7 linked regions of the Mus musculus genome follow. The protein of the gene in region 1 purifies or fractionates together with the protein of each later gene. This does not show direct contact. Links are inferred from orthologs where the notes say so. Each region holds a gene or a part of one and is shown in the gene's direction. Other genes may lie near its edges. The genes, in order: Zranb1, Strip1, Gcc2, Strn3, Map4k4, Strn4 and Strn.

Evidence for each region.
Region 2: the proteins of Zranb1 (region 1) and Strip1 purify together in Homo sapiens (affinity purification with mass spectrometry; 4 studies listed by BioGRID and IntAct, with this or other methods). This does not show direct contact. The link is inferred for Mus musculus from reciprocal best matches to the Homo sapiens genes ZRANB1 and STRIP1.
Region 3: the proteins of Zranb1 (region 1) and Gcc2 purify together in Homo sapiens (affinity purification with mass spectrometry; 3 studies listed by BioGRID and IntAct, with this or other methods). This does not show direct contact. The link is inferred for Mus musculus from reciprocal best matches to the Homo sapiens genes ZRANB1 and GCC2.
Region 4: the proteins of Zranb1 (region 1) and Strn3 purify together in Homo sapiens (affinity purification with mass spectrometry; 4 studies listed by BioGRID and IntAct, with this or other methods). This does not show direct contact. The link is inferred for Mus musculus from reciprocal best matches to the Homo sapiens genes ZRANB1 and STRN3.
Region 5: the proteins of Zranb1 (region 1) and Map4k4 purify together in Homo sapiens (affinity purification with mass spectrometry; 3 studies listed by BioGRID and IntAct, with this or other methods). This does not show direct contact. The link is inferred for Mus musculus from reciprocal best matches to the Homo sapiens genes ZRANB1 and MAP4K4.
Region 6: the proteins of Zranb1 (region 1) and Strn4 purify together in Homo sapiens (affinity purification with mass spectrometry; 4 studies listed by BioGRID and IntAct, with this or other methods). This does not show direct contact. The link is inferred for Mus musculus from reciprocal best matches to the Homo sapiens genes ZRANB1 and STRN4.
Region 7: the proteins of Zranb1 (region 1) and Strn purify together in Homo sapiens (affinity purification with mass spectrometry; 4 studies listed by BioGRID and IntAct, with this or other methods). This does not show direct contact. The link is inferred for Mus musculus from reciprocal best matches to the Homo sapiens genes ZRANB1 and STRN.

What each region holds. Positions count from the first base shown.
Region 1 is NC_000073.6:132,983,176-132,986,891, forward strand, and holds the end of Zranb1 (ubiquitin thioesterase Zranb1), read left to right. Parts: intron 1-557; coding exon 558-776; 3' UTR 777-3,216; downstream 3,217-3,716. UniProt on the Homo sapiens protein: Ubiquitin thioesterase, which specifically hydrolyzes 'Lys-29'-linked and 'Lys-33'-linked diubiquitin. Also cleaves 'Lys-63'-linked chains, but with 40-fold less efficiency compared to 'Lys-29'-linked ones.
Region 2 is NC_000069.6:107,628,911-107,633,183, reverse strand, and holds the start of Strip1 (striatin-interacting protein 1), read left to right. Parts: upstream 1-1,473; 5' UTR 1,474-1,503; coding exon 1,504-1,683; intron 1,684-4,273. UniProt on the Homo sapiens protein: Plays a role in the regulation of cell morphology and cytoskeletal organization. Required in the cortical actin filament dynamics and cell shape. Part of the striatin-interacting phosphatase and kinase (STRIPAK) complexes.
Region 3 is NC_000076.6:58,290,026-58,293,525, forward strand, and holds part of Gcc2 (GRIP and coiled-coil domain-containing protein 2), read left to right. Parts: intron 1-274; coding exon 275-451; intron 452-2,539; coding exon 2,540-2,757; intron 2,758-3,500. UniProt on the Homo sapiens protein: Golgin which probably tethers transport vesicles to the trans-Golgi network (TGN) and regulates vesicular transport between the endosomes and the Golgi.
Region 4 is NC_000078.6:51,608,041-51,611,914, reverse strand, and holds the end of Strn3 (striatin-3), read left to right. Parts: intron 1-1,468; coding exon 1,469-1,555; intron 1,556-1,642; coding exon 1,643-1,812; 3' UTR 1,813-3,374; downstream 3,375-3,874. UniProt on the Homo sapiens protein: Calmodulin-binding scaffolding protein which is the center of the striatin-interacting phosphatase and kinase (STRIPAK) complexes.
Region 5 is NC_000067.6:39,899,731-39,903,712, forward strand, and holds the start of Map4k4 (mitogen-activated protein kinase kinase kinase kinase 4), read left to right. Parts: upstream 1-1,182; 5' UTR 1,183-1,499; coding exon 1,500-1,556; intron 1,557-1,778; coding exon 1,779-1,844; intron 1,845-3,982.
Region 6 is NC_000073.6:16,814,481-16,818,688, forward strand, and holds the start of Strn4 (striatin-4), read left to right. Parts: upstream 1-1,408; 5' UTR 1,409-1,872; coding exon 1,873-2,154; intron 2,155-2,219; exon of another isoform or gene 2,220-2,252; intron 2,253-4,208. UniProt on the Homo sapiens protein: Calmodulin-binding scaffolding protein which is the center of the striatin-interacting phosphatase and kinase (STRIPAK) complexes.
Region 7 is NC_000083.6:78,667,062-78,670,561, reverse strand, and holds part of Strn (striatin), read left to right. Parts: intron 1-120; coding exon of another isoform or gene 121-207; intron 208-667; coding exon 668-811; intron 812-3,303; coding exon 3,304-3,440; intron 3,441-3,500. UniProt on the Homo sapiens protein: Calmodulin-binding scaffolding protein which is the center of the striatin-interacting phosphatase and kinase (STRIPAK) complexes.

The sequences.
Region 1 (3,716 bases):
GCCTGCCTGTGTTACCACTCCAGGGTAGAGTGAGTTGAGAGGGCGTGGGGCAAGGAGCTGAGGGTACATATAAGGCAGTGACAGCAGTGTAGACCAGCCAGAGAGGTAGTGAGGATGTATAAAAGATACCCAGGAAGCCCATGTTCTAGAAAATGATTGGCTATTTATTATGTATTCTAGTAATTCCCAAACACGAGCACAGTGTCAAGGAAGAGTAGCCCATGACGTGTACAATTCAGCCCAGATGTAGTTTACCCAGCGGACTTACCTTGTCACGTCTGAAGCTGAGACCTTTCTCTTGGTATTTTTCTGAAGGGCATGTCAAATAATTTAACCTTCTAGGGTGTTTTCTTAGACCCTTTTGTGAAGAAGGCTGTTTCATTTAATCTCAATGCAAAAACCTTCTGGGTTTTGATGATAAAACTGAGAAAAGGTTGAAATTGGGGTAGAAACAGTTGTTTGCTTTTGCTTTTTCATTATCACAGGAGCTGCCAGTTATTCCTACCAAGTGCCTGACATACTGTGTGACTTGCCTTTTCCTTGTGTTCCTTTAAAAGCTAGGTAATGAGGAGCAGCAAGAGAAACTGCTCAGAGAGTGGCTGGACTGCTGTGTGACTGAAGGGGGAGTTCTAGTGGCCATGCAGAAAAGCTCTCGGCGGAGAAACCACCCCTTGGTCACACAAATGGTAGAAAAATGGCTTGACCGCTACAGACAGATCCGGCCTTGTACATCCCTGTCTGATGGAGAGGAAGATGAGGATGATGAGGATGAATGACAACAAACCTAAGGAAAGAAAAAGACCAAGGCATCAGGTCTGAGGTGGCCTCAAAGTTAGTGTGGTATCCTAAACAGAATATGCAGCATGGAGCGAGCCATACCCTGCCGGATCTGCTCCCAAGTTATCTTTCTGTTCCACACTCACAGGAGAGAATTGACTGCATCTGCATGAGGAGATGGAGAACTTTGGTTGAACTACAGTTTGTAAAAAAGAAAAAAAAAAAAAAAAAAGAAAAGAAAAAAAAAGAAAAAAGAAAAAAAATAACCTAATTTTATTGACAGAACTTTTTTTTCCTTTCAAATTGTAAATCTGTCTATGAATGTAACGCATGTGGTTGTTTGAGAAGTTGTGTACTAGGAAAAGTGCACCAGCATCTTCATGTTACTGAGACCATTTTCCCAGCATGGGCACTCATAAACAGCACATAGCAGACAGACCAGTGAGATGCTCTCTCTCTCATTAGCACCTGACATCCTGCTCCCACCACACCAGACCCATTTCCCATTGTTTTAGAGATTTGGAAACTTTGTACAAATTATCCACGGCAAGATAAAAATAAACAAGCCTTTATTTTATTAATAATTTAGTTCCTGTTGTGCCCAATAAAAGTAAAAAAAAAAAAAAAAAAAAAAAATCAAACCCTTAGGAACAAACTACAAGAAAAACTAGCAAGTTTTTGGAGTGAACTTAACATAAACATTGTCTCTTGTTTTTTGAAGAGGGTTTTAGTTTCTGTTGTTTTCAATTTTTCCGATTTGCCCCTTTCATTATTTAGGTATTTGTTTGGAAGAGTGCCCTGTAAAGGGGGTTCTTACTCGACTCTGGGCGGTGCATTTGTGCACTTCTACCCTGGATGGATGGATGGATGGAAAGGGAGCAGGCTCACTCATCCCTGGGTGGGTTATGTGACAGTTACTTGGACTCAACCTGTTCTGTTCCCAGGCGGCCATGCAGACAGTCTTCAGCTACTTCCTGTCTTTGTCACCTCTGCTCTAAGCAGACCCTGTATTAGGGGCAGGCCTTTGGTTAGGCTGATTGGGAATACAGTTCAGTACAGAATAAAGATTTTTAAAATGCAGTAAGGTGGTCAATGCATTGTATGATCAGTTTCTGTGTAGTCTGAGAATTTTTGCATGTTGGTTAGTTGTAGCATTATTTAAAGTTAAAACCATACTTTTTAGAAAAAAAATTTATGGAGAGTGTTAATTGACCACTTCAGGTATATGTTAGTACTGGGTAAACATTTCTGACCTCCTCAGGCACACAACATGTAGTGTCCTGATAAGCACTTAGACTGATGTGGCAAGCAGTTGCAAAGTAGCAAATACACACATTTCCTCTTCTCCTCCCCTTTAATGAAAAGGCTGTGAAACCTTTAAATCTTGTTTTTCTGATGAGATGGTATTGAAGTGTATACAACTTTTAAGTTTGCTGGAATACTAAAAAGAAAAAACTTATGAGCTGTTATGTCTTTAGTTCTCTCTCTTGTGAACACTTAATAAAAAGGTGTTCTCAGGATGAAAGATCATTTATGCTGCATGCTAAAACCAGAAAGTAATTTTCACAGTAGGTGACTCCATATAAATGAATTGTGGTAACAATACTGGTAAATGTTACTGTTCCAGTAGTTAGTGTTTTTCTACAAATTGACTATTTCGTTTTCATTTTGATCAGTGAATGATAACCAAGTCAATAGAAGGCTGTCATTCTAAGTACTTAGCATCCATAGCATCTAGAATAGCTGATCTCCATGTGTAGAGTTGATTTTTCAGGAGGCAGAGATCCAGTTAAGCAAAACCTTCCTCCCAAATAAGCCACAGAGAGCTGAGAGGGTAACACTGGTCTCTAGGTGCATCTGTGTTGTACCCAAACCTTGTGGTACAGAGTCAGGCTCAGGATTGAGCCTTGTTCTGCATATTGTCAATTCTTGAGTGTCCTTTCCTGAGTTCCCTCTGTATTTATATTATTTATTTATTTATTTATGACCAGTGACCCTGACCACACATAATTTGATAGGTACCCATTCTTCCCTGTGGGAAAGAATTAAAGAAGGCTCCATTTCTTGGACTCTTAAGATAGGAATGGGGCTTTCATTAGTTTCTCTAGCAGACTGCTGGCTGTGAAATGGCCAACCCCTTTGGGAAATCAGCGCTATGTTAAGCTCTTGAACTAAACCAACAGCCATAATTATTGTCCCAAGAAAGTGTAATGCCGTCCTTTGTAAAAGATGATACATGGCTGGGTGGCAGGTATAGGGATTTTCAGATGGACTGGACAGTAATACTTTTATAACTACGTGGACTTTATGGTTCTTTTTCTAGGGTGAAACCAGTACTTTGTTTTTATCCTGATGTTGTCGTTCTTTGGAGTCAGTTTATAATCATTTCTAAAGGACTGTTTGAGCAACCACAATCTAATTAAACAAAACCTAGGCACACCATGGATTCAGATCTGACTTTCTGTTTCTCACTGTTAGGTTTACTACACTAGCCATAACAAATGTTAAGTACTGCTGTGTAGATGGTTGGGGCCTCTTTTTCCACAGTCACTGACAAGATCTGTAATACGGAAGGTACTCCACGTGAGCTCATTTTATAGCGCAGTTAAGGTAGAGCACCCTCCTAAAAAGAAGGCAGCCAGACAGGCTTACATTGTAAGACACTTCATTCTCTCAGGAACAGGAACCTTGGAATTGTGAGCATTGAGTGCTACTTCAGAAGGTAAGTACAAGTGGAAGTTTTCAGTCACTTTATAAATATTAGGTTACCCTCCCTCCCCCAAACAAAGAGTTCACATCTACATTTGGGCATATTAAAATCAAAACTCTAAAAATTAACCAGTTTTGTTTCTGGAATTGACTTCACTCCAAAGCACTGCCTCATCTTTAGGATAGCCTACCTAATTTGGACTTCTGTGAGATAAGACACTGTCACCACA
Region 2 (4,273 bases), on another chromosome or scaffold:
AGTGTGGTCTGGTTATCATCCTCTCAGTGTTGGTTCTATGAGATGGTAGAAGTCCTTTTTACTTAAGGGACAAGCTGGTTCTCAGGAGTTGATTCTTTCTCCTCCAGGGTGCACAGGCCATGATAGAAAGAGCTGTTCGTCATCCGGGGATGCTGTGTTCTGTGAGGCTTTGCCACTCCTGATGTCTAGAGGGTTGAGGCCAGTGACCAAGAGTCTTGTACCTGCTTCTTGGGGAGGGAGGTTTCTGGAGGAGGACACTGTAAAAAGTAACATTAAAACCATCTTGGTTACTCCTATGTGTTTGGCACTCAGACGTGACGGAGAATGAGGTGAGAGGCCACCATTTTTGGATGATTGCTCTTTGAGTCAATACAGATGTGAGCAGGTAATTCAGAGTAAACGAGACAGCTACAAAATGAAGGCAGAAAAGCAAGAGCCACTTCTAAGGGATTATTAAACACACCCTCATTTCCCCATGATTTCTCTGTTATATTTTCAATTTCAGTTTTATTTATTCATTTGTTTATCTCCCCCATGTGAATGTAAACTCCACGAAGACTAGAATCCTATTTTTGTTCATTATTATATCCTTAAAAGTATTTGTCAGTGGCTTGAGGACAGATACAACTTCATACTGTTATCCTTAGCCCCCAAGAGTCTCTCTCTCTCTCTCTCTCTCTCTCTCTCTCTCTCTCTCTCTCTCTCTCTCTCTCTCTTTCTCTGTCTCTCTCTCTCTCTGTCTCTCTTCACTTCAAGTTCAAGACAGGGTTTCTCTGTATAGTCCTGGCTGTCCCGGAACTCACTTTGTAAACCAGGCTGGCCTCGAACTCAGAAATCTGCCTGCCTCTGACTCCCAAGTGCTGGGATTAAAGGCGTGCGCCACCAACGCCCGGCTTTTTCCCCTGTTTTGATAAGTGAGATTATTAACGTGGCTCCAGAGGTGTCTTGGATGGAGTTATAATCTGATAAGTAAAACCAGGAGTCCCCAGGGTTGCACAAGGTGTTTCTTACAGAGTCCTACTGACTTGGAGGTTTTTCAGCTGGAAGGTTAGAGAAAAGCCACAACCAGTTGTTAATTGTACAGAAATTCTTTGCTAGGAAAACGTGTCAACTAGACCCATGAGTCAGGAATTGCTTTCTTTAATGATGTCTCCCTAATTTCCCCTTTCATCCTGCCTCACCTTGAACAGGGAGGGCTCTAAAGACAGGCAAAGCGATGATAGACAACGAATTAAAGTGTTAAGTCTCATGGATAAAAAAGACATCTAAAGGGATTCCTGCGAGCCCAGCCGCACGTCTCCGGCTTAGTTCCACGGGAAGGAGGGAGGGGAAACTAAATGACAAAGCCAGGAAAGACCTTGGGAGGTGATTGGCAGTTGCGGCTTTCGACACACGCAGCCACACTGAATATGGCGATTGGGGAAATTTCCTGGAGGAAATCACGCGAGAGTTGCCTGACGGGAGGCCGTCCGCGAATTGAGCCGGGGGTGTGGAGCAGCCAAGATGGAGCCGGCAGCCGCCGGTCCCGGCCCTCTGATTGTGAACAACAAGCAGCCGCAGCCGCCACCTCCTCCGCCGCCTGCCACCGCGCAGCCTCCTCCTGGGGCGCCGAGGGCCGCCGGAGGCCTCCTGCCGGGGGGCAAAGCCCGCGAGTTCAACCGCAACCAGCGCAAAGACTCGGAGGTCAGAGCTGCAGGGGGGCGAGGCTGGCACCGGGCGGGTGACAGAGGGGGTCCCGGGAGACCGGGGCGGCATCCGGGCCCAGCCGGGCTTCCCGACGGCTTGACAGGGACCCTGGGAGCTGTCACTTTACCGGGAACCGTGCAGTTAGCTAGGCTGGCAGCCGCCACAGCCCCGGGGAGGAAAGCCCGGAGCCCTGTCACCAACTCTGCTGCGGCCGGGGGAAGAAGGTCCCCGAGCCGGGGATGGCCGGTCGCCCCCGGGGGCGTGGCCTGAGGCACAGCCCTCCTGGGGTGCAAAATCGGTGGTCTGCTGGCTGGTTAGCCCCTCATCCTTTCCGGCCTCTGATCTTAGCAGGGTGGTGGGCCACGCCAGTTGGCAGCGAAGGGACCCAGGAGAGTTTAGCGGGCGCTTAGAACAGGGCTTCTCTCTCTAGTGCTGCTTGGCCGGCCCCAGGTTGTGTGAGTAGCAGAGAGAGCACATTGTGGCTTCCCTCCGAATTTTAGTCAGCGCTGGATCAAACCGCGGCCAGACATTGCCAAGTATTTTTGCATGCCCAGTGAGCCCAGTTGCTGAGCTGTGAAGGGATCAGAAGTACACAAAGGGCGCCGGATTCTCCTCCTTGCTAGTGAGCTGCGATTCCCTTTGCCCGCGCTGTCTGGAGCTATTCACCTCGCCCCAAGTTAAAATTCCTCCCACTGCTTCCGTTTGCAGAATTCATGAATGAACACACACCCGTCTCGTCGCAGCATTTCAGGGCTTCCTCATCAGCACATTCATTCCCAGAGCGCTTACTACGCAATCTCCTCCACCTGAGACAACTTCCAGTGTGATGAACAGCCAGGCACTTACCGAGAGGGAATTCCTCAAATTCAAATTTGATGCTTCAGCTAGTACCAGATACTAAAGATAGTGTCTTTAAGCCTAAGAAATCAGTTCCCTCCAAACATTTTGTTGTTGTCGCAGGCTCAAATTCTGATAACTTATGTCACAAAGGAACAAGCCCAGAGTTGAGAGGATGAGTTTAGAGTGGCTTTTTTGAAAAAGATGGACCTTTTAGGAGCCTTTTGTTGTGGAATGATGGGTGATCAGTGGCTACTTCTCAGTGATCTCTTAAGTACGAAGGAGTATGGAAGTTAAGTTTGTAAGACCTTTAATGACCAGACTTGTCCAGGTTTTCTGAAGAGAACCCTGAGAATTGAACTACACCTTCAAATTTCTCTTTTTAAATGTTTGAGTGGACTGGAGAGATGGTTCAGTGGTTAAGAGAACTTGCTGTTCTCTCAGAGGATCCCAGCACCCAAGTTGGGCCGCTCACAACTGCCTATTAGCACACTAGCTCCTAGGGATCCAGTACTGTCCTTTTGTCCTCCATGGGCACATGTATACACACACAGATAAACACATAATACATTTAAAATAAGTGCTTTAGGGATGGCGGGATAGCTCAGCAGGTAAAGTAGTTTTAAATTTTCCTGAAAAGCCACAAAATAGTCAGATAAATACCCTTTTGTGCATTTTATTTTATTTGTTGTTTGTTTGCTTCTTTGTTTTTTGTTTTGTTTTTGTTTTTGAGACAGGGTTTCTCTGTGTAGCTTTAGCTGTCCTAGAACTCTGCTCTGCAGATGGGGCTGGCCTCAAACTCAACAGAGATTCATCTGCCTCTTGAGTGCTAGGATTAAAGGTGTGCACCACCCCTTATTCGTGTTATTATGTGGTGCTGAGAATCAGATTCAGGGCCTTGTGCAAGGTAGGCAAACACTATACTGCTGAGGTATGTCCTCAGCCTCTATTACATGTTTTTATTTCTCTTCCTACCTTTAATTTCACTGGATTCAACATCTGGAAGGCCCATCACATCGATCTGTGTCCTTGTGTTGGAGGTGCTGATGCTGCACACCCTTCTGGTGACAGCTGAAGTCAGTAGTTTGGGGATCTGATCAGTGCCTAGAGCACAAGGAGGCTCAGTATGTGCCAGGTAAACTTTATTAGTCCTCAAAACTAGCCAAGGCAGTCGAGCATGCTTCCAGTCACAACACTCCGGAAGCTGAGCAAGGAGAATCAGAGTTCAAGGCCAGCCTGGGCTGCATAGTAAAACCTTGTCTCTATAAAAATACACTGGGGGGGGGGGGCTAAGAAATGGTAATGGATTTGGGGGTGAATAAGACCACAATATATTATATAATGGGAATGAAACTGTCAAAAAAAAAAAAAAGGTCTTAAGCTAAGTTTGAAGCAGAGTTTTGTCATTCCCATTGGGTAAATGAAACTCAACCTCAGTAATGTATACAAATGTTGATTTTAGTTGTGTTTTAATGGGACTGGGACTTGAACCCAGGACTCTACACATGGTAGGTAATCATTTTACCACTAAACTCTGTCTCTAGCCTAGAAGCTCAGTAGTGTATGGAAGTGTCCATTAGTGCCCATTAATAAGGAATAGAGTTATGGCTTGTGGGCATATTATGTCATGTCAGGGGTCATTATCAGTTAGAAGGTTTTCCCTGACCCCACTCTCCATCTCACTCACCCACCCAGCTGCATGCTGAGAATTAAGCCCAGGATCTAGCACCTACTAGGAAGGTGCTCTGTG
Region 3 (3,500 bases), on another chromosome or scaffold:
CAGCTAGTTCAAAGCCAGTTTGTGCTCTGTAGCAAGTATCAGGCCAACCATAGCTATATAGGCTAAACTCCAGAAACATCTTTTTGTAAATCTGTAGTGCCTGATACTTGCCATGTCAATATAACATTTTTTAACTATTGTAATTCTTGTGAGTATGTATTCTTTAGAATCATGCCCAGTCACCAAGAGTCTGACACTGAAACAGCAAACATATTTGAGGCCACAAAATGAGTTTACCTCTTTCATAAATGTTGTTAAACTATTTCTGTTTTAGGGAACACCTGGAAATGCTGATTGACCAACTGAAAATCAAGTTACAGGACAGCCAAAATAGCTTACAAATCAGTGTATCGGAGTACCAGACCCTGCAGGCTGAGCACGACACTCTGCTAGAGAGGCACAACCGGATGCTGCAGGAAACTGTGACCAAAGAGGCAGAACTTCGGGAAAAGTAAGGCTGCCAGCAGCAGCAGCAAGTGCCATTGGTAGCAGGCAAGCAGCCTGGCACTCTGCTGTGCCCCCCGCCCCCCCCTTGGATTGCAGTCAGGAGTAAGAGCTTATAGAGGCTTGAGAACTCTGCCTTACCTACTAGCAAACTTCCCTTCAGACTGTTTTTATCTTAAGCATTTTTGAGAACAACTAACATCTGATATTGCACCTTGCCTACAGCCTTTATAATCAGGAACTTTATTTAAAAAAAAAAAAAGCTTTCCAACCCAACTGTCAAATTTTAAAAAGCATTTTCTTTATTGCTGTAAAGAGGAATTAAAGTAATTATTCACTAATGAGGCCAACCAATGTTTATACAACCTACAGAGCCCAACTAATATAAACACCCGAGTCACAACTGGGACAGAATGATAAGCTTCTGTCGGGACTGGATTTCCAGTTGCATGTGAGGAGCTTGCAGGCAGCTAGCTTGTGATAAATCCATTGTGGATAGCACCTGGAGGCTACTACCAAGTACTCCTGGTATAATGGCAGACATTGAACACAGGCAAGTGCTATGCTTCCGAGCTGTGTCTCAGCCATCAGGAAGCTGTTGTAACTGATGATGATTTCTCCTTTATGTTCTTGTAACTATCATGAACAAAATGCTTGCAAAACACTATGTACAGTGTTTTACTAGTCACTATGAACTTGGTCATTGAGACCCCTTTTGCTAAAGCCAGGCATGGTGGCACATACATGTAGTCTCAGCATTCAGGCTCAGGACTAGGGCTACATAACAAGTTTAAGTCCATCTCAAACTGTATTATAAGGCCCTGTCTTTGAAAAGGGGGGTGGGGGGAAAGGAAAGGAAAGAAGAGAAAAGAAAAAGATCAATGATTTTTTTATTTTTTTCTTTAGCCACTAAATCCATTTTAATTTAATATGGTGTATAAAATTATGACAGAAAATTTTATTTTAATACATTATACTCCCAATAGGTAAGAATGTTCATTTAACACTGGAATCAGGTTAGAGACTGGCAAGCATGAGACCCAGGAGAGGGCAGATTTAACTGGCTTCTAATTGCTTCTAATTCTTATGAGCAAATATTTCTGGAAATTTATTCATGTTTTCGAGTTGAGGTTTGCTAAAACCAAACATAAAATAACAAAGATACAAATAAACTGTTTTAAAAAATTGTTGCTCAGGCTGCTGAGATGGCTAAACAGGGAGACCCTTGCTGAGCAAGCCTGGGGTCATGAATTCAGCCCCTGCTGCCCATGAACAAGTGGAAGAAGGAAGAGAAGTGACTACAAACTTGTCTTCTGACTTCTGCCATGTATATGGCCATAACACACCCATCATTCACTCACACACCATAATAATAAAAAGAATAAACTTTAATTAATTAATAAAGTAGTTGCTCCCCAAGTGAAGGTCTGCTCACTGTTGTCGCCCTGACTGTTTCAAACCCAAGTGGAGGACTGCTGCTAGTAGCTAATTCCCAGGACCCCACTACCTCAGAGTCAGCAGCAGGAGTATGGACACTAGGTGTTAGTGTTTTACAAGGTAAACCAGCAAATCTGATGTGCTGGAAAAGTTAGAACTAGCTGTAATAAATCAGGTCTTTGTGTCTATGTGATTCATGCTAGTTCACTCAAAAATGAATATTTTCCTTTGAGTCCTTGAGTTCTTTATGAAAAGTATCCTTTTCTCATGTTCAAGGTAGTATGGAATAGGTAGATGAATCTTATATGAGCTGCCTATATAAAATCACATAACAATAGAATAATATTGTGTGTGTGTGTGTGTGTGTGTGTGTGTGTGTGTGTGTGTGTGTGTATGTGTTTGTGTTAAAGTGTGTGTTTAAAAGTGTAACAGGGCTTTCCATCTCCCAGGCTAGTCTTACTCATTATGTAAAAGAGGGTGACGTTCTGATCCTCTTGGCCCCACCCCTATGTGCTGAGATTGCAAGGATGTACTAATGTGTCCAGTTTCTATGGTGCTGGGCACTGAACCCAGAGCATCCAGCTGACAGGCTGCTTCAGCAAGTGTAGTCCATTGCTGTGTAGCACTCTCATACAAACTTAGCTCTTCTCACCTTCAGGCTATGTTCAGTTCAATCTGAGAACACCATGATGAAGTCTGAGCACTCGCAGACAATGTGTCAGCTAACATCCCAGAATGAAGCACTCCGTACCAGCTTCCGAGACCAAGTTCGACACTTGCAGGATGAGCACAGAAAGACAGTGGAGACTCTGCAGCACCAGCTCTCCAAGCTGGAAGCTCAGCTCTTCCAGCTCAAGAGTGAGCCATCCACAAGAAGTATGTGTGACTGTGTGGGAGGGTGACCTTTTTGTGTTCTGACATATCACATAAGAGCATCATTCACAAATTGATAAGAAAGTAAAATATTGGATGAATCAATGGTTACCAGTACTTGCTGCAATTCCAGCAATTCTGGGTTTGGTCCTCAGCACCCACATAGTGGTTCACATCTGTCTCTAACTCCAGTCACAGGGAATTCAGTGGCCTCTTCCACCTCTGAGAGCACTGCCTGCACATGATATACAGTCATACGTGCAAAACGCCCAAAGACCAAAAATAAAAACAGTAATAGTAATAATTAAAAACATGTAAAACTTAAAGGAAAAGATTACTGAGTACCGACTTGTGTCGATTCTGTGATTAATGAATTATGGATTTGCTTACTGGAAATAAACCTGAGTCATATAAACCCTTCTTGATTATACTTAGAGCAGCCTATGCAACTTCTTAGACCACTGATGTTCATAATTGTGTTACCCTCTGTGTAATGCATTTATTTTTTGTTTGGCTTATACATACACCTATCAGTCTGTTGGCATGAGTTCTAATTCTGTCATCTATTGACTTCAGATGCATGTGTTCTTGGTTGGAAGCTTTGGGCAGAGCTAGGGACTTATAACCCGTACTTGTCGAGTTTTTACCAGTGCAGCGTCTTCCCTCAGACTTTAGTGAGGTAGAATCGCCACTTCCACGTCTTCTATTCTGCTTCTAGAAAAGGCCAAGAGAATGTCAGTTGTGAC
Region 4 (3,874 bases), on another chromosome or scaffold:
CCTCTTGCTCCACATCTTCTCCAGCATGTTCTGTCGCTTGAGGTTTTGATCTTAGCCATTCTGATGGGTGTAAGATGGAATTTCAGGGTCAGTTTTCTCTGTATTTCCTTTTAAGTGCTTCTTAACCATTGGAGATTCCTCTGTTGGGAATTCTCTGTTTTAGCTCTGTACCCCATTTTTCAATTGGGTTGTTTGGTTTGTTAGAGTCTAACTTCATGAGTCCTTTATATAGTTTGGATATTATCCCTCTGTCTGATGTAAAGTTAGTGAAGATCTTTTCCCAGTCTGCCGTTTTTTTTTTTTTTCTTCTTGATAATTTCCTTAAATTTAAACTTGCAAACACACACACACACACACACACACACACACACACACACACACACACAAATAAGTGAATCTTTATTGTGTAGTGGATTTTATAGTAAAACACTATACAATATTCAACCCAGGAAAGGAACCCAGGACAGACCAAAATATGATTGTGTCTAAATCTTACTTGGTGAACCAAAAAGGTCTTAACTGGGGTTCCTACCTAAGGGTCTGGATGGGTGGGAGCTCAGTCCTAATTGGTGAACTGTAAAGGTCTTACTGAGGTTTGCTAACAGGAGGATGCATCGGTGAGAGCTACTTACAGAATAGATTTAAAAACAAAAACCAGCTGCAATAGGGAAAGGCCCACCCCAGTGTGAGTAAGGGTGGAGCTCTCTTGCACAACTTGGAGGTAGGTTTGCAGATGCGAGAAATCTCTAAAAAGAGTTGTTTACTGCTTCTAAAAAACTTAAGGGCTGGAGAAATGGCTCAGTGGCTAAGAAGCACATACTATTCTTATGGAAACGGTCTCAGTACCCACATCAGGCAGTTCCAGCTTCAGGAAGCCAACACCTATGACTTCTGGCACATACGTAGACACACATACAGCACATTTACGTCAATTAAAATTTAATTAAAAAAAAAGGTGGGGCAGGATTTCCTGAGTCTTCCAAGTTTTTACTTTTCTCAGATATGTAACCTACTTACTGTTTATGCTCTGACTCCAGTGAGCATCCTTTCCCCCGCCCCTACCTGTAGAGGAATGCTTCATTTAGGAGCAGAGTCTTTTAAAAATAACTAATGGTAAAAATTTTCTTTAGTCTATTAGTATGGTAGATGCATCTTGAAAAATATGTGCAAGAAGCCAGACACAAAAGCCACATATTCAGAATCTAGTGTAAAGCATCTAGAATTGGACAGTTTCTAGAGAGGGCCATTGTTGCTAGGGATTGGGGAAAGATTATATACTTGGAACAAGATTTTCTTTCACAGTGATGGGCTCGGAAGTAGTAGTGGTTGCTCACTGTGAATTGTGTGCTCCCAAATAATTAAATACTAACTTGTATGTTGTGAATACTTTCCAAAACTTAAAAAAAATACTGTGATGGTGATTGTTTTATGTTGCCTCTCAGCATTAATCTTCTGCTATGTTTTATAGGTAAAATGATCCATTCTATGGTAGCTCATTTGGATGCTGTTACAAGTTTAGCAGTAGATCCCAATGGAATCTATTTGATGTCTGGAAGTAAGTTTGAACTTCAGTACACCCTACAAACTTTATAAAAGAATTGCTCCTTAGTAACAAGCTTCCCCCCCCCCCCTTCTTTTACAGGCCATGACTGTTCCATTAGACTATGGAATTTGGACAGTAAGACATGTGTACAAGAAATAACAGCTCATAGGAAGAAATTGGATGAGTCAATTTATGATGTTGCTTTCCATCCATCAAAGGCATATATCGCCAGTGCAGGAGCTGATGCTCTTGCCAAAGTATTTGTGTGAACCAACATAGACTCGCATCTTAGAAAAAAAAGATTTACTTGGTCAGAAAGGGGGTCTGCATCACTGCCATCATGAAGGTTCCTGACATGACACTACATGTGATCTGCCTGGTGATTGGGGCAGGCAGAAATTGGGAATCACATCCTAATGTCAGGTTTATTAGTTTAAGTGTAATTAACTGTATTTTGTGGGACAGAAAGAAAAAGGACTCCAGTATCTGTGCCCTATACTGGATATGAACTGAGCGGTTTTTGTTTTTGTTTTTTAAGGTGTTTAAGCCAATGTGGAGTCTGCTCTTAGGGGGAAGGACTTTTTGTTGGACTCTGTGTGCTGCCTTAGGGTTAGGAATGTGGTGCTCTGGTGGGGAAGCAAGCTCCAAGAGTAGCTTTGTTCATCTCTTAGTGATCTTATGTTCATCAGTGAATGCCACAGATTCCCTTTTAAAGTTATTTTGCTTTAAAAAAAAAAAAAGAAAAAAGAAAAAAGAAAGAAAAGAAAATTTAACTTAAAATATTTTAGCATTAGTTGCACAAAATGTTTGGATAAAATTCTAGTTTTTATAAGTCTTTTTATATATTTAGCCTGTCACAACAGTGCTCAAGATCATATTGATGTTTTTTCTGCATTATACAACCCTAAAACACAGAGATCTCACTAACCTGCCACCTATAACCACTTTCTTTCCTCCTTTTACCTAATACAGCTCAGCTAAGTCCTTCATAAAGATGATAAACCAATCACCTTTGTCTACATGTCTTCATGAACCAAGGACTATTAAGTGTATTAAAACAAAGCTGTGGAGTTTAGTACTCCAAAGGAACTCTTTAAAAACTAATCTTGACATCCTATCACTATGTGATATTTTGTACATCTTACTGTATTTACAAGTTTATTTATCAAGGATTATCCATCTTGCTAATAGCCTATTATTTATTTTACTTTTTGTTGGTCTTTATATCCTTTTATTAATGTGCTAAAGGAACCTGTATATCTATTTTGGAACTCTTTGAAAAGTCTAAAATAGACTAAAAATGGAATATTTTATAGTTAAGTTACAAACCAAGATGTTTCTCCCCAAGATTCTTGATTTACCATGATTCCAAAACAAATGAACTAGTTAGAAAATTGGAGAATATTTTATTACCATTACAAATAAGATATTAAAAAAAAGTTGAATCAGGACACAGAAGTCTGCTGGATTTGGACTCACAGTCTCCCTGTTTTACTTTTTAGATGTGCTTACTTTTATGGTGTAACTGAAGATTTTCTTTGTGTAATGCATGATTAAGACAATAAAGTATTTTTTCTAGTCTTCCAAAAGCCTTTTCTGATCAGTTTGCGAGTTTTGATGAGTTTTGTAAGGTTTTTGTTTTACAGACTATGAATCAGCAGATTTTTAAGATTGTACCCCAGAGCAAACATAGAGCTGTTGAAAAATAATGTATATAAAATACATATAATAAATATTAAATTGTGTACCTGTATGTTGCTCTTGGCCACATTATTTCGTGTTGAATAATAAAGTGCAATACTCTCCACAATTAAACTAGGAAATGAAGGTGCTTTCTTAGTGGAGTCCTTCATTTTTATGCTATTCTTTTTGGTTTTTCAAGACAGGGTTTCTCTGTATAGCCCTGGCTGTCCTGGAACTCACTCTGTAGACCAGGCTAGCCTTGAACTCGGAAATCCGCCTGCCTCTGCCTCCCAAGTGCTGGGTATGCTATTCTTTTCATACGTTGTTGTACTTAATGAGATTCTAGTAAGGTTACAGCAGAAACACTATTAAGAATACTTTTCAGAGTAATTTTGTACCACCAGGGGGTAGCTTTTAAGCTATTAAAATATGGCACCCACTGTCATCCTCACCCCCCAGATTTCACAGATGCAATATTTTCAGTAATCTGCTTAGATATCTTATTACTGTAAAATCTGAGTTTTACTTAATAGAAAGTAGTGTTGTCTTGTTTAGGTATACCTGTTTCCACAGACATGTTTATTAGCAAAGAATAAACTGTGTCATTTACTAGTAGAAAGTTGCACTTATAAAGTTAAAAGTTAGCTA
Region 5 (3,982 bases), on another chromosome or scaffold:
TGGACATTCTCTGGGGGCAGCGACTTGAACTCTGGGTATAGGCCGAAGTGGAGAGTATGCTCGCTCCTCTCTAGGCTAGGGTCTTTAGGGTTTGAGTACAACAATTGCAGTATTGGGGGTTTTCTACTCCGAGGCTATAAGGTGTGTACTGCTTAAATCAGAACAGTGTGGAGTGTGTGGGGAGGGAGGTGCAGAACGTTATTGACAACTAGATGCCCATGAAACAGTGGATTTTGGGGGGCGCCATGTAACACCAAGCTTAGCTTCATCTCTTAACTTATCAGGCCCATTCTAGGCCTTCTACATGTGGGAGTCAAGCAATTTTACAGCGATCTTGTACCTGGCCATTCTGGGATACTGTTGAGAACACCCGCTGTGAGGTAACAGGGAGTCACTAAACATGTTTTTGGCTGGTCCTGGGACGTGATAAAGAGGGACAGTAGTTGAACTGCCTAGCTGACTTGCTGTGGCATGCTGGAAGAAGCCTGTTTGGTGACCCGTGGTGATCTCCATCCAGGTACTGTCAGGGTTTTAGATCCCGAGCAGAGGGCTCGCCCGTCCGCCCTCCCTCCCATGGGCCAAACTGGCTCGGGGAACACAGCAGCGAGCAATCACAGCGACTGTTTTGGATTCTCCCGGACGGTCAAGTGATGCTCAGCGAATCCTCCAGCAGCAACCAAGCCACAAACTGAGACAGGAAAGGAGAAAGGAGAGGAACACCCCTTGGGGGGTAAAAAGGAAACGAGGGTCTACGGGACCGACCGGCCGTAGGCGGCGGAGGGGTCCGAGGCCCGACCCCGGCGCGTCCTGGCACACCCTCTCCCGGGCGAGCGGCGCGGGTGGGGTGTCCACGGGGCCGCCGGGGCGCTCCGAGTCTTTCATTCATTGTTAGCGGAGGCTGGGGTGTTCCGCCGCGCCCCGCACTTCCTCCGGGAAGGCCCCGAGGGCTCCCGGCCCCACCCCGGGCCGGGCCACCATCCGCGGAGGGCCGGCCGCCCGGCCATTGTTCGAGCCCCACCCCTGCTGAATATTCACGCGGGCGGGCGGCGAGCGAGCGAGGGCGAGGGCCGGGTTCCGCCCGCTCTCCCGGCGGAGGGGGCGGGGGAGTCGCTCGCCCCTCCTCAGCGGCGCCGGTCGGTGCCCCGCGTCCCCGCCCCCGCCCCCGCCTCCCGCGGCATCTTTGTCTCGCGGCCTCGCGCTCGCTCGCTCGCCGCGCTCTCCGGCCCCAGCTCCGGGCCGCTCGTGCAGGCGCGCGCGCGCGGGGCGCCGGGGCCTGAGGCGGCGGGCGACGCCCGGGGGGCGGGTGGGGGCCGAGGGAGGACCGCCAAGCCATGGTGTGAGCTCCGCGGCCAGCGCTCTCCGCGCCGCGCTCCGCTCCGACCGGACGACAAGCCGCCCGGGCGGCGGCGGCCTGCCCGTGCGGCCCGAGCCCCGGCGCCGCCGAGCCCCTGCCCGTCTCTCGCTCTCTCGCCCGCTCCCGGAGCGGCGACCCGGGGAAGATGGCGAACGACTCTCCCGCGAAGAGCCTGGTGGACATTGACCTGTCGTCCCTGCGGGTGAGTGCGGCCGCGCCCTGCGCGCCGCGGTGGACACGGACACCCGCGGGCGCGGCGGCCCCTTTGTCTGCCGGGCGAGCGGGCGGGCGGGTGCCACGGCGCTCCCGGGGACCCGGCGGGGCGAGCCTTTGTCACCGCCCTGCATCCCTCCCTCCGCCCTCTCGCCCTCCTCGGTTGGGGTCCCTCTTTTGAGTTGATAACCTCCCCCTCCTCTCTCTCCAGGACCCTGCTGGGATTTTTGAGCTGGTGGAAGTGGTTGGAAATGGCACCTATGGACAAGTCTATAAGGTCGGTGTGGGGCGCCTTTGTTCCCCGTGGCGTGGAGAAACTTCTTAGGGGACGAGGGAAAGGGTGACGAAACGCTGCTGACTGCAGGCCGTGCCGCCTGGCCAAAGTTGGGAAAGGGGGTTTCGCCTGGCTTTTCTTTTTTTTTCTTTTTCTTTTTTGTTTTTTTGCCTGTGTTCAGACTGGCCTTAAAAGACCTCATTTCCTGGCTTTGAGATAAAGGAAATAAGCTACACTGTTAGGCATGCACTTGGCTTTAGCAAAATAGAAAAGGAATTTTGTGTTCGAGGGTGACCACAGGGTCTCCCCCCAAACCCCCTTTCCTCCAAATCTGGCCTTCATGCGTTTGCGTTTGTCCGTGAATTAAAATTCGGTGTAGACAGGCCTTGCCTATGACTCCACTCAGCCACTGCCTTGGTATTCTTGAGACATGTCATCGTGCTTCTGCCTTCGGAGTGCTTGCCGTAGGCTCCAACTTGGGGAGGCTAGCGTTACCTGGTACTGATTTTAAAGCTTGGCCAGCATACCCTGTTCTAGTGGACAGTATCTTGGGGAAGCGGGCGGGGGAGTGTGCTTTTGGGCCACGGGAACAGGAGGAATTACAGTGTGGGGATTATAAAATGTGAATTCCAGGAATAACCTTTGTGACAGCTGTGTAATTGAGATGGCTGGGAGGAGAGAGAGCAAGGAGTAGAGAGGATGCCAGACTTCACACCCGCCACCCCTGGTCGTTCTCTCTCTTTAAATTTATCCTCCTCCCTGGGCTGCAGATGAAGCTGAGGAATCTGTTGGCCTGTGTCGCCGCGGAGCTGGCACCTAAGGCTGTGAACTGTTGTTCATTCTGTTTCGCTCGCTCGGTCTAGAAGGCGGCTCAGGCTCCGAAGTGTAAAAAAAAAAAAAACACAAACAAAACAAAGCAAAAACCTTTACGTTCGTTCGGTTTCCTGATTTCCTTCTTGTTGGTAAACGGTTTTCTGGAATTATCTTTGCTTGGGGAGTTTTCTAGTTACTGGGACTGGGTCAAGGTTGAGCTACACACACAGAGAAAAATTATCTTATGAAGGAGGGCTTTGTGGCTCACCATGAAGAATTGTCATTGTTTCCCTAAAAATGGGGGTGGTGGTTGAAGCTGACTGTAGACATTTTCTGAGGCCAAATTAAGTGTGGATTCTTTTGTCCCTTTTCAGCCTTGTGAATAGGGTTTATGTGCTCAAGATTGCTTCTCCGGGGCTCCAGCTTCCCCCTCTCCCCAGCACGGGGCCTGGAAGGTGGTATTGACAGGCCTGCCTGTGGTCAGAGCCTGAGTCAGTACTCTTAGGTGATCTCAAGTGAATTAGCATGTTTTGTTGGTTAACTGTTGGGGCCTGGGCCAGATTTTTGAATTTGAAAGGGAGCCCTGTTAACAGCCTGCTGGGCCCAACTGAATTTGGAAGGCTTTGGAAAATTTTGGAAAAGACTGTGTTGCAACTCACTGGAGTGGCTGGCTGGTAACTGGCTTAAAGACACTCTTCCCAGCTCCAGAGTTTGTTTAAGCACGGATTGGTTTTTTTCTAACCTAGTTTTTCTGGCCAGATCTAAGTTGTGAGTAGACTCTTCCAAGTGAGTTAGCCAGAGCTTGTTTTTGACCTGATTACACAGTAGTTGGATTGTTTGTGTTTCCCTGGGTCAGCGTGGAAACTGCGGGTAGAGAACTAAGCCAGAAAGCAGTAGTGCCTTTTAAAAGGCCAGCGTGGGTTTAGTTGGTTTTAAAAGGTGGACACTTTGTGGTGTTAATCTGGGCAAGTTCTTTGTCCTCTACCTCTCCTCTTTTAACCGCCCCCCACCCCGCCCCCAGGCTTTTGAAGTAGATTTGCTAAACACTGCTTTTGGGGAGTAACGGGGATGTGTTAACTATACCCAGTGCAGTTGAAAAATATTGAGTTCAAATCTCTTAAGACATTGATGTAAAAGGTGCGTGTAACCCATACATAGTAGTGTAGTGCTTGGTTTTACTTACAGGTAGGTAGTCAGTCTCTCTCTCTCTCTCTCTCTCTCTCAGTCTCTCTCTCTCTCAGTCTCTCTCTCTCTCTCTCTCCCTCTCACACACACACACACACACACACACACACACCCTATCTTTAGGGACATTTTTAAGCATGCAC
Region 6 (4,208 bases), about 120 Mb from region 1:
GGAGACCAGCCGGGAGCAGGAGTGAGTAACATGGGGCCTTGCCTAGGAAAAGTGGTCAGGGAAGAGAGTGAATCTGAGCTCATACTAGCTTTCCATTTCTTCCCCCACACATTATATACGCTGAGTCTGATGTTAAATGCTTGTATTCCCAGCACTTGGGAGGTGGAGGCAGGAGGATTGAAAATTCAAGGTCATCCTTGACCACTGCTTGAGTTTGAGGCCAGCCTGGGCTACATGAGACTGTCAGAAAAACAACAACAACAACAACAACAACAACAACAAAACAGTGTTTAAAGATGGCCCAGCAGGTTCTTGATACCAAGGCAGACCTGAGTTTAGTCTCCAGAACCCAAACAATACAAGGAAAGAATCAACTCCGGCAACTCAGCCTCTGACTTCCACACATGCACATGCACACAATAAACAAACACATGAAAAAAATCTAAGCGTATGCATCACTTGGAATTAGCCTTAGCCTTTTCAATCACAGTAGGTACAAAAAGGAGACCCATTCAGGAAAGCCTTTAAGGACATAGAAAGGGCAGTTACCCATGTGATTACTGTGACATCCAGGGACTCTTACCTCCCTAGGTTTCAGGCTGAGGGTGATCAAGAAGAGTGGTTTCACCTTGGGTCATCTGCCCTGCTGAGGGAGGAACCAGAAAGCATCAAATGAGCCAGCCCCTCCCAACAAAGTGCAATTTCATTCTACCCGCCCGTGAAAGTAGCTAATGAAGTCACAGACTCTTTTGTCTATTTGAAGTCCATAAGCCTGGTTACCACTTCAGTCGTCTCAGGAGTGATGTGGTGGGTAGGAGTCATCAATTGTAAGCTATAACTATCCCTCTTCCATGATGGTGTCCAGAAGGGCAGAAGTGACAGCAACTGTTACCATGACAACCTCTTCTCTAGACTCATGCATCCTTTGGAGCTAATCCTAAACATCCCCTATCTTACAGGACCTGATTGCTAGGATCATCAGACTGTGGGAGATTGCCCTGTTATAGTAACCAGGGCATGGATTTAACTGTTTCTCATCTCCCTGGAAATGGTCCAGGCCCTGTAACCATAGCAACTGTCCCACAGCAGCACTTGTCTTCTAAATAAAAACACCTGGTTGGTTTATCCATGGACTTTCCATAAGGGAAGGGGAGATGGTTACCATGGTAATGGCAACTGGGTTGGCTGGGGGAGGAGTGGGACAGAGGCATTCCTCTTAGAGGAATGTCTTTGGGGCTGGGCCTTTTTTCTACCTGAGCTCTAGGTGAGGGGAGGTTGCTATAGTAACTGATGAGGATAGGGTCAGAAGAACCACCAGGGACTTGGGTTACCTTAGCAACCTCCTCCTAGTGCAATGATAGTAGAGGTTTGGGACTCCACATATGCAAACTGGGAAGGGGCCTCCAGATTGGATAGGGTTATTATGACAACCGACTTCCTCTGGTCAGAGCCCACTCCCCACCCCAGGTCGTCTTTTTTGTTTTTTGTTTTTTTTTTCTTCACTAAGTGAAAGAGATGGGGGTGTATTTGCATTTGGAGGGGATAGGACTCTGACATTGGGGAGAATGCAGAAAAAAAAGTCCGGTCTGGTCTCTCGACCGCAAAGGAGACAATTGCGAGGGACCCTGGGTCCTTTGCCTACGTAGAGGCAGTCCCTCCCCCTCCCTGTCAGCACCCCCGCCCGCGCGCACCACCGGGGTCGACCCGGGTGGGTGGGCGAGGCTCGCGCCCAGCCCCGTGCTTGTCCCCGCTCCCCTCGCCCGCCCAGCGCGCGCGCGCGCGCACACGAGGCGGGGGTGTAGAAGTGTGAAGCTGCGCGTCCGCGCAGGCGCGCGAGGTACAGCGGGCGCGCGGGCCGGCCCCGGGGCCTCCATGATGGAGGAGCGAGCGGCCGCCGCGGTCGCATCGGCCGCCTCCTCCTGCCGCCCTCTGGGCTCGGGCACGGCTCCCAACCCGACGGCGGCGGCCCCGGCCTCCAGCCCTGCTCCTGGGCCCGGCCCGGTAGGAAAAGGAGGTGGCGGCGGAGGCAGCCCGGGCCCTACGGCGGGCCCGGAGCCCCTCAGCCTGCCGGGGATCCTGCACTTTATCCAACACGAGTGGGCACGCTTCGAAGCCGAGAAGGCCCGCTGGGAGGCCGAGCGCGCCGAGCTGCAGGTGAGCGCCACCGCTGCCCTCCCGCGCTCCCCGCCCCAGTCCTGCCCGGCCCGGCCTCGCCTCACCCGCCGCCGCCGCCGCCGCCATCTTGGAGCAATGGCCGCCGGGACGGCCGGGAGGGGGCGGGCAGGGCCGGCGACGGGCCGGCGGCGGGGTCCTCGGGGCCTCGGGGCGGACGCGGGCCGGGACCGGTCAGAGGATCTGAGCAGGGCCGAGTCTGCCGGGAGCCGCGAGTGGGAGTGACGAGCCCAAGCCCAGAGAGCCTGTCTGGGCGATGCGACTCGGGGTTCCCGGGGGACAGAGTGCTGAGAAAGTGGATGGGGTCTGCGCGAATAAATATGCCACGCCTCGCCTCCGGATCCTAACCAGATGCTGGCTGTCAGGGTGGAATGGACTAGATGTCTAGTGGGGTGACACACTCTTAACATCCACTGGGTGCAGGGAGTGAAGAGAGGAAGACTGGAAGCTGGCATGGGGTACCTTGGGGGAGTGGCTGGCCCGGAGCAATTGAAAGGTGGGAGGAAGCTTGATAGGAAGGGGTCCCAGGATGAAGTGTGTGGCCTCCTGTCCAAGAAGGACACTTTGGGCACGTGTGGCTACAATGTAGGGACACATTGGGATCGTTTGGGTGGAACCACGGAGAGGGTAGAGGACATGTTTTGGGCTCCCCCAGGAGAGCTTGAGAGTGGGAAGCGACATTTTGGGTGCTTTAAGGAATTAGAGTTCCGTTATGAAAGATTTGAGGATGTTAGGTAGAAACCCCTGAACTGTTAGGGCGTTTGTTGGGTATATTCAGTGGGAAGACAGGAGCGTCTGAGATGCTGCACACGGTGAAGAGGGATGGAGGTGCCTTTGGGTGATGAGTAGGGGGAAAAGACAGCACGAGGAGGGACTCCGTGAGGGAAGTGATTGTGTAAGGGCCTCTAAAGGGACTTGATGGTTTGTGGAGAAGAATGTGCCAGGTGATGGCTCGTGGAGTAGAAGTTGGGCTGGGCTCTGTGACCTTGAGCTAGGTACTGCTTGTGGGGAATCAGAAAGGTGAGCACTTCAAGGCCTTCAGGGATGGGCCCCCAGGAGTCAAATGGTTCCTAGGCTGGGATGTTATTAACAAAAACAGTCAGCGCTTGGTTTCTGGCAACCCATCTTTCTGTTTCCAATGTGCTCTTTCCTGTCAGATTGAAATGGAGCCCCAAATAAGTGACTGATTCAGTTTTTGTCCATGGGATGAATGCCAAGAGCATTTGAATTTTGTGTATGTAGCTCCCATCCCTGAGAGAGAAGTCCTTATGTAAGTGCTCCTCGTGCTGTGCCCAACTCTAACTCAGGCTCTTTCCCAGCATACATCTCATCAGATCTTCTCAATACCCCATTATGTAGGCAGGGCCAATGTCATTACCTCACTCAGCAATAACGACAGCAGCTGCTATTTATTCAGGGCATATTATGTGCCTGACACTGTATTAAGTATTATACATGCTATCATTTAATTCTTGTGGCATTCTGAGAGGGGAAATGGTATCCCTTCCTCTCTTTTTTAATAAGCAGGGGAGGGAGATGCTACGGATCCCAGCAGTGGTGGCAGTGCTGACTGTGTCTTTTCCCTGTCTGACACTGAGCACAGGTGAGAAAAGTCTCTAAGGAAGCTTAGAGACCTCACCAGGTCACCCAGGCCATCACAGCAGAGCTTGACAGGGGTACAGTTGACAGCTTTCACTGTGTCAGCCATGCTGTGTATCCCAGACTCCACTCAGAGTGTACAGTATGTGCTGCCTCCTAAGAAGAGGTCTTCCCACTCACTTAGTGACCTTCTGTGGAGTCACAGAGCATGCTCTGTAAGGCTCCAGCATCACCAACTTCATGCTTTTGCTACTTTTGTTGCATTCTAAGTCAGACATCAGGATGTGTGTGTGTGTGTATGTACATGTCCTGAATGTGTTAGAATATACCACATTCGACACTTCATAAGTCATACATTTAGTTCCCTTTCCCCATTAGCAGAGAATACTTATTTTTGATAGCTTGGGTAGTATTCTCTTGGGTATTCACACCATAGC
Region 7 (3,500 bases), on another chromosome or scaffold:
TTAAATTTTTCTAGGTACTAGTTAAAATTGCTTAGAAATAGTTGTATTCTTTGCTGGTAAAGGAAATACCATAACGGACTATGGGTAAGATTTTCCCATTCTTAATTAAACTTGTAACAGGAAAAACTACCGAAGATCTGTTTCAGCCTCTATCCTATATAAAACAGTCAAAACAGGGATGTGGGAGAATGAAGAGACAAAGCCCAGGTAAGTAGTCAGTAGGACATGAGACTTCATTCCGGGTTCCGTAGCTGCAGGATGTAGACAGTGAATGTAACTTAACTTAAGCAAGCAGCAGAGTTACTGTTCAACTGAGTTCACATTCGGTTCATGATCTGTGATTGGCTTCATTTAGACCACTAGTCATTGGCTTCATTGTAGATGAGTATGCCTTTTAATGATACATACTAGAAATGACATTCTTTCTCGTGTAGTGATTCCATTAACTTAATTTATAAAACATATATTTAAATATAATTCTTTTCCAGCAGTAATAAACTCTTAAAATTTGAAAACTTCAAAAATGACTGTTGCTTATTGATGAATCTAGTAGGCTATTTTGAAGGTAAATGCTGGCAGTGTGAAAAGGTTTGTTGTGCAGTTTTTATGAGATGAGTGATTCTGTTTTCTCTTTTTCCTCCTCTGCCCTCCCACCTCTTTTGGCTAGGGCCCAATAGGTCAAAACTACAAGATATGCTTGCTAATTTGAGAGACGTTGATGAACTTCCCTCCTTGCAGCCATCTGTTGGCTCCCCTTCCAGACCCAGCAGCTCCAGGCTTCCAGAACAGGAGCTCAGTAGGGCAGATGAAGGTGAGCGCGTGGACCTAGGACCGAACTGAGCCTCCTCAGAGAGCACACAGTCTGCACACATCCGCTTCCTTAAGGCGGTCTTTAGCATCGGTCTGTGATTTGGAGTGAAGGGCATAAATTTAAGAACCAACTCTTAGTTTCTGGTTTTGAATATTCCCTAGCTCCATGGCAACTCAATGCTAACTGTTAATTCCAAGCCAGCAGTGAGGAAATTGAGTCAGAAAGTTGGAAAGTCAGCATAAACACGTTTTAAAAAATGCAGCGACATTAGGCATGATGACACATGCTTTAATCCTAGAACTCAGAGGCGGAGGAAACTAGCTCTCTATGCGTTGAGGCCAGTCTGCTCTACATAGCAAGTTCCAACCCAGCCAAGGACTGCACAGTGAGACCCTGTCCCAAAGTAACAGTAACAAAATGGAGGGAAAGCCACCTATTGTCATATTTTCTGTTTCCCATGTTTCTTTGGTCCCTTTCAAAAGTCCTTATCTGCTGGCATATACTTTTTAAAAACGTAGTTACAGCCATCATGTAGACTAGTTCTGTTTTGTTTTATATTTAGTATACAATCATACTGTTGATTTTCAAGTTCAGCCTTAATGCTACATATTATACTTTAGATTTGAAATCAAATTCTTTCTTTAAAATATGTTGATTGTTTCTAGTTTTTCACAGTGCAGTTCCATGGTATACAAATGTAGAAAGTTTAGGATTGGGAATGTTTGTCAATTGGTGAAATGACATTTGCCTCACGCAGAGCTCAGCTCATCCCCAGCACTGAGGCGAAGGACTGAGTAGAGGAAAACCGTGGGCAGACGTGAGTGAGGTGGGGTGGCGGGAAGGAGAGGAAGGGCTGCTCACTTTACAGTTACTCGCCCGTCACTAAAGCGTCTCCCCCAGCACTCAGGAAGAGCTTCCTTAGTCCCGGGTAGTAGCTGAGGTCTTGTTGGTTTTCTAGAAGCTGATTAAGGCAGCACTATGTAGTTACCCAAGGTACTGTAACCTATTTCTTCACTTCTGAGGACCCAGAGAGCAAGATGCCCACCCACGTAAAGATGCGACATCCCTGTTGCTTTCTCTTCTGACCCCTCCCTGGCTAGACCTTCCTAGAGCATTAGCTACTACTAACCCACGCACCCATGCTGTGCTCTGTTCCACAAGTCTTAAGAAGTCTTACTGTCTGCAGGACAGGCCATTTTTACCTCACTTATAAAAATGTTAGAAATGGGAAATAGGACAAAGAAAAGACACCTGGGGAATCCCTAGTCTCCTAGGTGCACATGAGTGGTTCTTTGAAGTTTTGACCTGAAAACTACATTTGGACAGTTGTCAGGCTGCAGAGCGCTAGGGTTGTCTGACCCCTGCAGGGGATGCGCAGCGTGCTAGGGGGAGCTTAGTTCTTACTGGCGCCACTCTCGTGTATGTGTGGCTTGAGAGTGGCTTAATTTGTGTCATGGTTTATTCTGACAGTGATTTTCTTTTTCTGACAGATTTTGAGTTTTTGTCACTAGTCCTAGTTTTTGTCACTGCTTATCCCTGGCTGGCCTGAGTTCATTATGTCAGCCAGGTTGGCCTCGCAGTTCATCTCCCTGGGCCTCCAGAGTGCTGGGGTTAAAGTTGTGCACATCCAGATGCCACTGTTGTTTTTAAATCAGATAGCCACTATTTAATGCGCTCAACAAAAATAAAACATGGGAGCATCTCGTTCAATCGTCACAAATCAGAAGTAGCCACGGCCTGTTGATACGGTCACCCTCAGATCAAGGAACAGGGAATCACTAAAGTAGCGATGCTCGATATTACTAATGTAGCGTCCTCTGTGGCCTTTAACCTCTGTCACTTGTCTCACCTCAGGAGAGAACTCTGACTTCTAACAGTGTATATTAAGTTTTCTTAGATAGGCACATTGTAGAGTTTTCACTTTGAAATGTCTACAATATTCCAGCTTATAGACTCGATTGGTTTTATTTTGTATGAGATCAACAGTGTTGAACATACAGCAAGAACTACTTGTTGATATACTTAGTAATTGGTAGGTAGACATTATCTGAGTAATTATCATAAAATAGAGAAAAACCTTAGTTTTAGACTCACTAGTTTCTGTGTAATGATAAAGGGAAGGACAGTAGATTACTAGGTCTGTTTCTCTTTTACTTTTCTAACTAGATGATGCTGTTAGCAGGATAATATATGAACAAGCAGTCTTTAAGATTTTTTTTTGTTTTTGTTTTTTGCTAGGAAATTTCACTGTTTGCAAAATTTCCTAACAGTAATAGAGGTATAATCTCTCAGGCCTGTAATTCCAGCACTTAGGAGGCCAAGGCAAGAGAATTACCTTTGTTCTGGGCCAGCCTAGGCTCAGAAAACAAACAGACAAACCAACCCAGAAAATTGATCAAGTAAAAATGTACATGATCACTTAGCAGAAGTGTAATGCAAGCAAGCCTCGCTGTGAGTTGTCTAGGTGTGTAACCTGGCCTTTGTCTCCTCAGTGGAAGCGCTGACATTCCCCCCTTCTTCTGGGAAGTCATTTATCATGGGAGCAGACGAAGCCCTTGAGAGCGAGCTGGGGCTTGGAGAATTAGCAGGCCTCACGGTGGCCAATGAAGCAGACTCACTAGCTTATGATGTAAGTAGCTGTTCTGTTTGTCACACCATTAATCTGTTTGAAAATTTAATTGTTGGGTTT